Drosophila melanogaster: one gene and its partner. The protein of the gene in region 1 interacts with the protein of each later gene in a pairwise test. Each region holds a gene or a part of one and is shown in the gene's direction. Other genes may lie near its edges. The genes, in order: Ephrin and Nrx-1.

The links.
Region 2: the proteins of Ephrin (region 1) and Nrx-1 interact in a two-hybrid assay, tested with the Drosophila melanogaster proteins (one study listed by BioGRID).

The regions. Positions count from the first base shown.
Region 1 is NC_004353.4:569,919-574,761, forward strand, and holds the start of Ephrin (ephrin), read left to right. Parts: upstream 1-1,836; 5' UTR 1,837-2,253; intron 2,254-3,694; 5' UTR 3,695-3,830; coding exon 3,831-4,510; intron 4,511-4,843. Other genes in the region: ND-49 (NADH dehydrogenase (ubiquinone) 49 kDa subunit), read right to left, coding at 57-258, 316-425, 491-615, 686-777.
Region 2 is NT_033777.3:22,467,499-22,472,777, forward strand, and holds the start of Nrx-1 (neurexin 1), read left to right. Parts: upstream 1-1,979; 5' UTR 1,980-2,986; coding exon 2,987-3,892; intron 3,893-4,020; coding exon 4,021-4,497; intron 4,498-4,562; coding exon 4,563-4,874; intron 4,875-4,938; coding exon 4,939-5,055; intron 5,056-5,110; coding exon 5,111-5,279. Other genes in the region: CG5377 (uncharacterized protein), read right to left, coding at 1-484. UniProt on the Drosophila melanogaster protein: Neuronal cell adhesion protein involved in synapse formation, development of synaptic active zones, synaptic regulation and visual function. Plays a role in cell adhesion between the pre- and the postsynaptic cell.

The DNA.
Region 1 (4,843 bases):
AATCTTCTTAATGACTACAAAGTCAAGAGCAAGAGAAAATTACTTTGTATTCTTACTTCGAATGTACTTAGCACGGAGAGGCACATCAATATTAAGGAGTTTTTCTACAGCCAGAGAGTAGCATTGCTCGTTGCACATCATCGAGACGTAGTCCAGCCGGTCAAAATACGGCAATGCCTGGGTGTATGTCTTGTACTCTATGAGCTTTTCGGTCCCACGGTGCAGCAGCCCAATATGCGGATCGGCACGCATAACGGTCTGCAATAACAGAGGTTTTAATTTACACAAGACCTGTGGTCGATTAACAGCTTAAACCTCTCCATCCAGCTCCAGCACAAGACGAAGGACTCCGTGGGCGGCGGGATGTTGTGGGCCGAAGTTCAAGGTCAGATTACGCACCGACTTTTCGACAGGCGTTACTTTGCCTAGTAGAGGAGGTAAGTCAAGCGATTAGTTCAAGGGTCAGTTTAATATTGGGTTACCAACTAACTGTTCCATGGTGGCACTGTCCAAAGTGATGTGACCTCGTCTGGATACATCACCGGGCCGCTAAACTGCTTCATGAACTCAGGGTCTGGATACCACTTGGCTGCTCCCCGTCGCGTCTCCTGAGAACTAAACAACGAGTTTCCAATTGGACAAATATAAATGATATATTCGAATTATGTAAGCATTTACTATTTACGTTAACGCGGCCGATCCAGCTGCAACAAGTTGTGGCCGCAGCCTCAAGTGTGAAAGTCCAGGAATCAACGTTCTTCTCATTATATTGGCCATCCTGATAGTCAAATTCCTCTATTTATGTTTCTTTAGTAACAATTCAGGAATCTAATACAACCAAATAGTTATCCGCAATCGGAATTCTATCCAAAAAATATCGAAAATTACTTTAAACACCGAATCTCGTACAGCTTATATACTATTTACACCAATAATATATCGCAGGTTGTTGCTTCATGAAAATGAAGTGCAAAACACATAAATTCCCTTATATATATTACACACTTTGTCATCCTGCTCGTTTACCCAAGTTTTTATTTATCTTTATATAATGTTATAAACAATAATTGCAATTAATTTTTCGAAGACCTGAATTTTACATCATCCCAATGAAGCGAATTTTGCGTTAATGGAGCACTATAAAAATATAATTACTAGAGATAATAATGATAGCTTCTGCAAGGCTAAACTTATATATCTTAGCAGTATCTCAGCAGAGCGAATGTGGACATTTAATGACTAAAAACAACGAAACTATTTAAATTCTTTAATTAACAATTGATTTCTGGACTTTTCGTCCGATGACTAAACTTAAGAAAACAAAATTATGAAAACTCTTTTAACTTGAACAAAAATTTTATGCAGTCAAGAACCGGTGCTAAGAGATAGTAACGTAAAAACGGATGATCGGACAGACGGTAGTGCTGACTCGGCTCTTGATACTGACCATATATATATTTACTTCAAATTCTTAACTCTTTCACTGGGTTTCAAACTTCTTACACCAATCAAAATAGGTTCGACACGGGTAATAGATAAATTTTAATAATTATAAAATTATTCTTAAAACATAAAATAGTGCTTAAGCCTAGCTAAAAAATTTACTAGGAACTTACATAATGGTTCTGCTACAACAAATGTCAAATAAAATCTTTATAAGACAGTTTCCTATCAATATGGTATGGTTTTTACTGTGAATATTACTTATAGTAGAAATTCGCATATGTTAAATTCAAAAAAAAAAAAAAAAACCAAACCATTTGACTTATATTATAAGATTATACGGGCCTTTGGAAAAAAATCGCTATCGATTGATTTGTAAAATTATCGATGCCCTTAAGTTTCTTTATACATCGAAAGTTAAAGTAAACATCGTTTTTTGTTCCAGCTCTAAACAAGTTTTTTTTATAGCTCTAGCTCTACAGTATTTATATAAATAATTCTTGTATGTAGTCCAAGTGTAGAAAAAACTAATTTAAATGAGCTGTTTTCGAGTATTTCTCTTCAGACAAAAACCTGTTTGGAACAATTTTTAATCATGTGAAAATGTAATTTTGAAAAAGATGTACCAAAAAAGGAAGACGGTGTTATGGGCATATATGTATATTTTGTGTTTTTATATGTCAACTATGTTATACCAACATATTTGTACCGGATTGTTAATCGTATCGAATAAGAATGTTTCCCCGAGAGTAAGATGTTTGTGTATATATAGAGTTTCTTCTGTCTCCTCGGAGAGTGTGTCGTCACTGTGTATGTATACAGAAATGTCTTTTGGTGTATACATACATATGTAATTGTATAATGCTGTTGGGATGTTTTATCACTTAAACATACAATTTTTAAGAAATATATTGATTGTTCCGTTATAAATTGAATGTCAAGAACTGCAGATCCGCTATATATTGTTGATCTTATGCCATGTTGATTGTTTATGACTATGAATGTTAAAAAATATATTAATATTTCGCCAAGCCATTACCAACCCTGTTTGTATAGAAAATGTACCATACATGTATTAAAATGTAGTATCCCACTTAAATTGATAATTGGTTTGCCGGCCTGTTAAATAAGTATTTTTGATCAATCAGGGTCGAATCAAATCAATTAGGCGGTTTCCAAAGTTAAAGCGAAGTACTTTTAAAAATCTCGTAATCTGTCAGGTGGCGGTAGTCAACATATAAATATTGTTGATCAGCATTAACAGCTGCTTATTTCGCCGACTGCCGCCGAACGCGGCGCAAACAGGATCCCTCAGTCTTAGGCTGTTTGTTTTAAAGATCAACTTGTATAAACTTTACATAAAAATATAAATACGCATAATATGCTACTGTTACATTAAAATGTTAACGCGTAATGATCTCAAAGCTTAGAATGAGTAGATATAATATGTAGTTAGATTTTGCAATGGGTAAACTAATTTCAGTCAGGATTGTCAACGAAGTAAAGGAGGAAATGTCAATAGAAGAACACATATTCTTGATCAGTTTACACAGCCATGTCGATATATTTTTTGTCTTTCTTTCCGTTTGCCAAACGACCTTCGAATTGAAGGTTGAAATCCTTTTATTTTGTAGTTCATATACATATACGGGTCGAAAAAGAATGCCGTTAAAGTATTGTTTCTTTTTTAACTGCCTAGTAAACTTTTTGACGAGATAAATTGAAAAGTATAATTCCGCTCTAAAAAAGTCGGGTTAAATTTTCTAAGAACCCTAGGTATTATATCAATTTCATTTTCAGTATCAAAATTTAATCTTGAAGAGGTGAAAACTAAGTCTACGTTAAAAAGAATACTAGACCTAAATCACAGATGAAAAAGAAACAATAATTTAACGGCCTTTTCAATTTAATTTTTTCGGATTGTTCCTATATATGCATATATATTTATATAGTGATATATATGCACAAAAGTTGTATTATTTAACTATTGTCATCAAAAATTAAATTGCACCTGACTTTATAACGCACTACATATAATTTACTCATTTATAAGAAATCTTTTAAAGGGTAAAGTAAACAACCAAACCGCATAGTAGTCTTTAGTCTGTTGGTGCGCTTCGTAACTATACCGTCCAAAGTGAGAAAATCATGTTACAAGTTACACTGCAGTTTCAGTGTTTTTTTTTTATGCCCAGAATTCGTACACGGCTACAGCGTTTTGTTGTAAAAATTGTTATTTTATTGATTGCAGATGGAGCAAGACACTTTGGTGCGGAATGACACAGATGTAGATGTAGCCAGTCAACATATTCTTATTTCGGAGGTTTATTGTATGCATTTAGCAAGAAAGCTACTAACGATCTAACATCGAAAACATTGCTGGCGGTATGCAAGAACGATCAAAGCAACTGCGTCTTACTGTTTCCTGGACCCAGTCAAAGTCTCAGATTCATGACAGTTGTCAACGTCGGAGCATGTTGGCATGTAAGAGGCGCTTAACTACCAGTAAAGTGCTTGAAGACTCACATCCACCAGTAGCTTTCCCCAATTGCAAATCTCACCGGCATCAGCAACAAAAGGAGAAACATAAAGTTCAGCTATACTCTGGAAAACCTTTAAGCATTAAGCTGTACGTGCCAGGAAGTATTGAGAGTATCCCAAAAATTCGACATAAGGCGCTTACGACAACGAATAAACAGCAACCAGCTATGCATCGAAAGTCTAAGAGCAAAAGCAAGTTTCAAGGTTTTAACAATCTCAAGCCGCTTTATTCACCGAGTAAAAGACAACCACCCGAGAAGCATTCATCAGTACTGGTGGAAGCAGGGATAGAATCAAAGGCATCACGGCATTTTGTTGGTAAAAAGAGGATTAAGAACAGAAACTGTTTGTTATCTTCGCCTCAGCCATCGCCAATGAGATGCAAAATGATGATTCCATTTCCAAAGTTTGGTGCCACATCCTTTGTTACGTTGCTCACTTTAATTTGTATGGAAACTGTTTTGCTCTCCACCATGTCTAGTTGCGCCAAGACTTTTTACATGCATTGGAACACATCGAACAGTATGTAAGTACTCAAATATAGTGGTATACTTAAGCAGCGGTATTATAATTTTATTGAAGTTAAAAATTGTAGATTTTTATTTTTCTCTACAAATGTATTATGTTTTATTACAATTATTACAGTTTTTAAGTCAGTAGTATGAGGATTATTATTATTCGTTTAGGGGATTTGTTATTTCAAATAAAATTTTCTTTCCAATAATAAGACTGCTGGCCAATAATATATTGATAAATTAATCCCTAATGTCGCGTATAAACACGCTGGGCTTTTATAAACTTTCCCAGCAATTAGTAATGCACATGAGTCATTTTCGATAGAATAACTATTGTCATAATT
Region 2 (5,279 bases), on another chromosome or scaffold:
TCTTAAGAGCCTTGACTTCGTCAGCGTTCAAGTAGGCACCTGCTCCCCAGATTGCTAGGCGATCCACAGCTTCCGCATGGCGACCTGCGACTATGAGCGCCGTGATGCCCCCATCGCTCCAGCCCAAAATGGAGAAGCGTGGTCTGTCCAGGGCACGCATCAAATCCACGGCTGCCTGGGCATCCTCCCGAAAGAATTCAAGGCCGAACTTGCGCTGCGGCGGCACTGATTTGCCATAACCCGGCGGATCCCAGGCGATGATGGTGTGACCCGGCAGCAGTTTCGGCAGCTGCTCGATCTGGGGCCTAAAGTCGGTCCACGAGGAACCCAGTGCTCCCGGCATCAGGAGTAGACTCCGCTCCCCACTGCCGCTCTCCACAATGTTCAAATCTGAGCCATTCACACGAACTTTCCGCTCCGTGTGCAGCAAGCGCCTGGTGATCGGGGAACGGGCACCCACAAGCCGGCACAGATTGCCCAGCATTACGTAAGCGGGATCTAACGGGGATTTTGGAGTATGGCAACAAACTTAGCTGCTTCTCAAGGGCTCTTCAGATGTCCAGAGAGGAATATTTGGCAAATTCTAATCTTTACACACGACGCCTTGTAAAGTGCACTTGATAAAGATCCGTTGATAACAGCTGATTGATAAGAACAGCTGTAAGTAAACGATCGAATTAGTGTGGCTGTAGGTGCGATGATGCCATATACCGTTAAATCAAAAGTAAATATACCAAAAAACTAATTTTAAAAGAATCGTTAATTTTTTAATAATTTGAAAAATATTTTCATATTGATATTTAGGCATTGGGTGATGCACTTGCATTTTTAAGAATGTTCCTGAAATTTAAAAGATTTTTCCATTCATTTTGAAGAATATTACTTGACAATGCCGAACTCTCCACAGATTTTAAAATAATGGTAGTTTAAAAGCCCTTGAAAGTTCAAGAGCTGCCGCTCAGTTTGATTTTAAGCTTTTCGCTCTTCCCCCAGCTTTTGGCATTCCCAATCTTAGTCCTTGTTAGTCCACTTGAACGTCACGACTCCGAAGGACAATGGACAGCACGTGCTGGCATTTGTTTAGCCTTTAGCGTGCGTTAAAATATTATTAAAAACCGTAAGTGCTTAATAGCAGGATCCTGGTCCCTGCTGTAATGGTCAGTGCGTGATTCGTGTGCTCAAATTAATGTGTTCGCCTGGACTGCGACGACGATTAATGGAGGCGACGGCCTTGCAATTGCTCTCCTAGGACGAAGGAGCAGGGTGATGGGATTTGACAGAGGCAGGACATACACCCACAATCGAGAGTAAGGGACATCACATTCCACTGCCAATGCAAATGCAAATCGAATTCGACTCCGAGATGTCGAAGTTGCGTAGTAAATGTCAAGGAATTTACACGGGTCGTCTCGGAGATAGTGAGCCCGGGGGGGTGTCAGCTTGAGTTGGTGTGTGTGAGTGTGCGTGCGGCCACAGGACACCCACGCACACAGCTGAACATGCATATGTGTGTATCCATGTGAATGTGGCATCTAATACGCTTTAGTGGTGCAGGTTATGAACCTGCGTGCTATTCGCTTATTACGCATGTGTGAGTGGGCAGCTGGTGTCTATGTGTGCGTTTGTGTGTTAGTAGTACACATATGCATGCCTCGTGCGAAGTAAGCGAGCTTTTAATTTTTGGCATTCCCACACACTACACTCAAAGCGTGCGGTGCTTTCCTTTTCCGTAGCACACTTTTTCGGGTAAATCAACAAAGTACCAATATAAACCATTAAATTCAAGATTTCCAGTAATTCTGAACGATTTTAACTTGTCTAAATGTAAAATCAGTAGTGTGAGGTACAAACTCCTTTGTCCAGTTCGATTGTAGTGCCATTTTCGAGTCGCCTAGACCGCACCAGTGGCTTTTTGTGAATAAGCTGGCGGAGCTTTCGTTATCCATTGGAAACAGTGCGAAGAAATTAAGTTTGAAATTGCAGTTCAGTCTTGTCGTGGATGCAGCGCGGATCGATATCGGAGCTAAAAGCAGCGGAAGGCGCTGCTAAGCAAATTTCGACACACAACATTTTTGTATCCCTCGAAATTGAACCGAAAAATCTGCAAAAATAAATTCAACCAACCAACAAAAACGAAAAGGACGCGTCGCGCTAAAATCCAGCCCGAAAAGTTACATAAAGCAGGAGCGACAAGAATATCGTGCAAATTCAAAGGAATAATTGTGTAATTGAAAAATCTGTGTGCAGTCTCTGCAACTAATTTCGTATCCAATCAATAGTTCAATCAATACGCATAAATAACTGATTGCTGTGGAATCAACCGCAGTAAAGCGCCCATTTTAGGGGCACTTGCTGTGAGGTGCTTAGAAAAATTTTCGCCTACATTTGCGATATGCAGTGAAAATTTTTTCCGATTTTTAGTATGTACATGTACGATGGAGCGCTCGTGGGCGCCACAAACTGCGGTGGCAGGGGTATCCGGCGAGCTTTTGGCCCAACCATAACCCCCAGTATTACTAATACAGCCGACTCGGTCGGAGAAACGGTTGTCTGACAAAGTATCGATGCAAAATATGCGCCGTTTTGAATTTAATTGCCAAAAATTATGCAAATCAAGTATACAAAATGCCGAAAACTGAAGGTGCTGAACATTAAGGACCAAAAAAATCAGGCGAAATCATAAGCAATAATCGGTGCAGTGCCGTTAACAGTCGACGTGTACCGTTAACATCCGCAGCCAACTTCGCGTGGCCGAGCTTTCGCTCTCGCGCGCTCTTACGCTCTCTCTTGGCAGGCGCGGATAAAACGGATTGCCGAGTAACACCAACACAAGGACACGCGAAAAGCTCGCGCTCAAGGACTGGAATACGCGACAGAAACACAGCGAGTGAGAGAGAGAGAGAGGGAGAAGGACACTTTACGTTTACGCGCGCAACGTGCGTAGGTGCCTCTGTGTGGGTAAGCCCGAGTGCCACCGTGCGTGTGAATGAAGGCGCCACATAGTGCAACATATCAGGATAACTATGCTGATGCGGCCATGACAGCCAGGACACGGCCAAGCATGGACATGGATCAGCAGCGAAATCGAAATCAGGCGGAGCTGAGGCTCCTGCCCGCCCAGCGCACCTCCACCTCCGCCTTTGAATCCCCCGACTTGCGGTTCAACAAGGCTCGCCGCCGGCGGAGAAGCGAGCAAGTGCCTCCCGTGGTCGTGGAATACCGTCGCTCCTACCGCGTGCTCATCGTCAGCGCCCTGCTGGTCAGTCTGGCGGCCAGTTTCGTGACGCTCAGCGCCGGATTCCAGCTAGATGGATCGCAAAACTCCTTCTACACCTTCCGCAAGTGGTACACCGGACTGAATGGGACCCTCGAACTGGAGTTCAAAACGGAACAGCCCAACGGATTGGTTCTCTACACCGACGACGGCGGCACCTACGACTTCTTCGAACTGAAGCTGGTGGAAGGAGCACTGCGGCTGAGATATAACCTTGGTGGCGGAGCTCAAATCATCACCGTGGGTCGGGAACTGCACGACGGCCACTGGCACAAGGTGCAGGTCCTGCGGAACGATGAGCAGACATCGCTCATCGTGGACGGCGTCTCCCAGCAGCGATCGACCAAGGGGAAGGAGTTCCAGTTCGGCAAGTTCGCGAGCAACTCGGACGTCTATGTGGGCGGTATGCCCAACTGGTACAGCAGCAAGCTGGCCCTGCTCGCCCTGCCATCCGTTATCTTCGAACCGCGTTTCCGTGGCGCCATCCGCAATCTGGTCTACGCGGACCAGCCGGGCGGCTCCACCAGGCGCCAGGAGATCAAGCAGCAGCGCGACATCAAGTGCGGCGATGTGCCCTGCGATCACGGAGAGCTGCCCGCCCGTGAAAGGCCGCTCAGGGTGAGTCCATTAGTCATTGATATACACAATACAACTTTTTATATTCTATTTAAATGATATTGATAATAAGAAAAAAGCCTCTATTTATATGTATCCCTGATTTGGTAAATAATCCTTTAATCCTGCAGGGTGTTCGGGGTGGCAACACAACCGATGCCTGTGAACGGAATGATCCTTGCCAGCACGGCGGCATCTGCATATCCACTGATTCCGGTCCAATTTGCGAGTGTCGAAACCTCGAGTACGATGGCCAGTATTGTGAGAAGGAGAAGGCGCCATCGGAAGCAACGTTCCGCGGTACACAGTTCCTCTCCTACGACTTGGGCCAGACGGGCGCCGAGCCGATAGTGAGCGCCCAGGATGCCATATCCTTCTATTTTCGCACCCGCCAGCCGAACGGTCTGCTTTTCTACACTGGCCACGGCACGGACTATCTAAATCTGGCGCTGCGTGATGGAGGCGTCTCCCTGACCATGGGTCTGGCTAATGGCAAGCAGGAGATGCACATAAAGCCCTCAAAGGTGCGCTTCGACGACCACCAGTGGCACAAAGTCACCGTGCACCGTCGCATTCAGGAGATCTCCTCCATAACCAGCTTCTGTCGGGTGGGTAACTGTTCATAGATTTTCTTGGTTCTTTATTCGAAATGGAGTTTTTTTTATCCCTGTAGCTGGTTACCGTGGTGGATGATGTCTATACGGATCACTCCCACATTGCTGGCAAGTTCACCATGCTCTCCTCCTCGCGGGTTTACGTTGGTGGTGCTGTTAATCCTCGAGCGCTTTTGGGTGCCCGTGTGCACACTAACTTCGTGGGCTGCCTGCGCAAGGTGGAGTTCTCAGCGGATACGCTTAATCTGAACCTCATAGACCTGGCCAAGAGCGGTTCCAAGCTGATCCAGGTTGCTGGCAATCTGGAATATCAGTGCCCCAGTGGCGATCCACAGGATCCCGTGACCTTCACCACTCGCGAATCGCATTTGGTAAGTTGAAACCTGTATGAAAATACGAAAAGTAATGAATTAATATTTGATTGTTATTTTAAAGGTCCTTCCTCCCTGGGAAACTGGCAAGCAGAGTTCTATAAGCTTCAAATTTCGCACCAAAGAACCGAATGGCATCATTGTCCTGGCCACAGGATCCAAGCAACCACGGGCCAAAAACGTGAGTCTACTCATTAGGTTATCTTGAGCCATTTTGCATAATTTGAATCCATCAGCCCGTTTTGATTGCCATTGAGCTGCTGAATGGGCACATCTACATCCATTTGGACCTCGGATCCGGAGCCTCCAAGGTGCGAGCCTCGCGACGTCGCGTGGACGATGGCGACTGGCATGACCTGATTCTTCGGCGGAATGGACGCGACGCCAAGGTGAGCGTGGATGGGG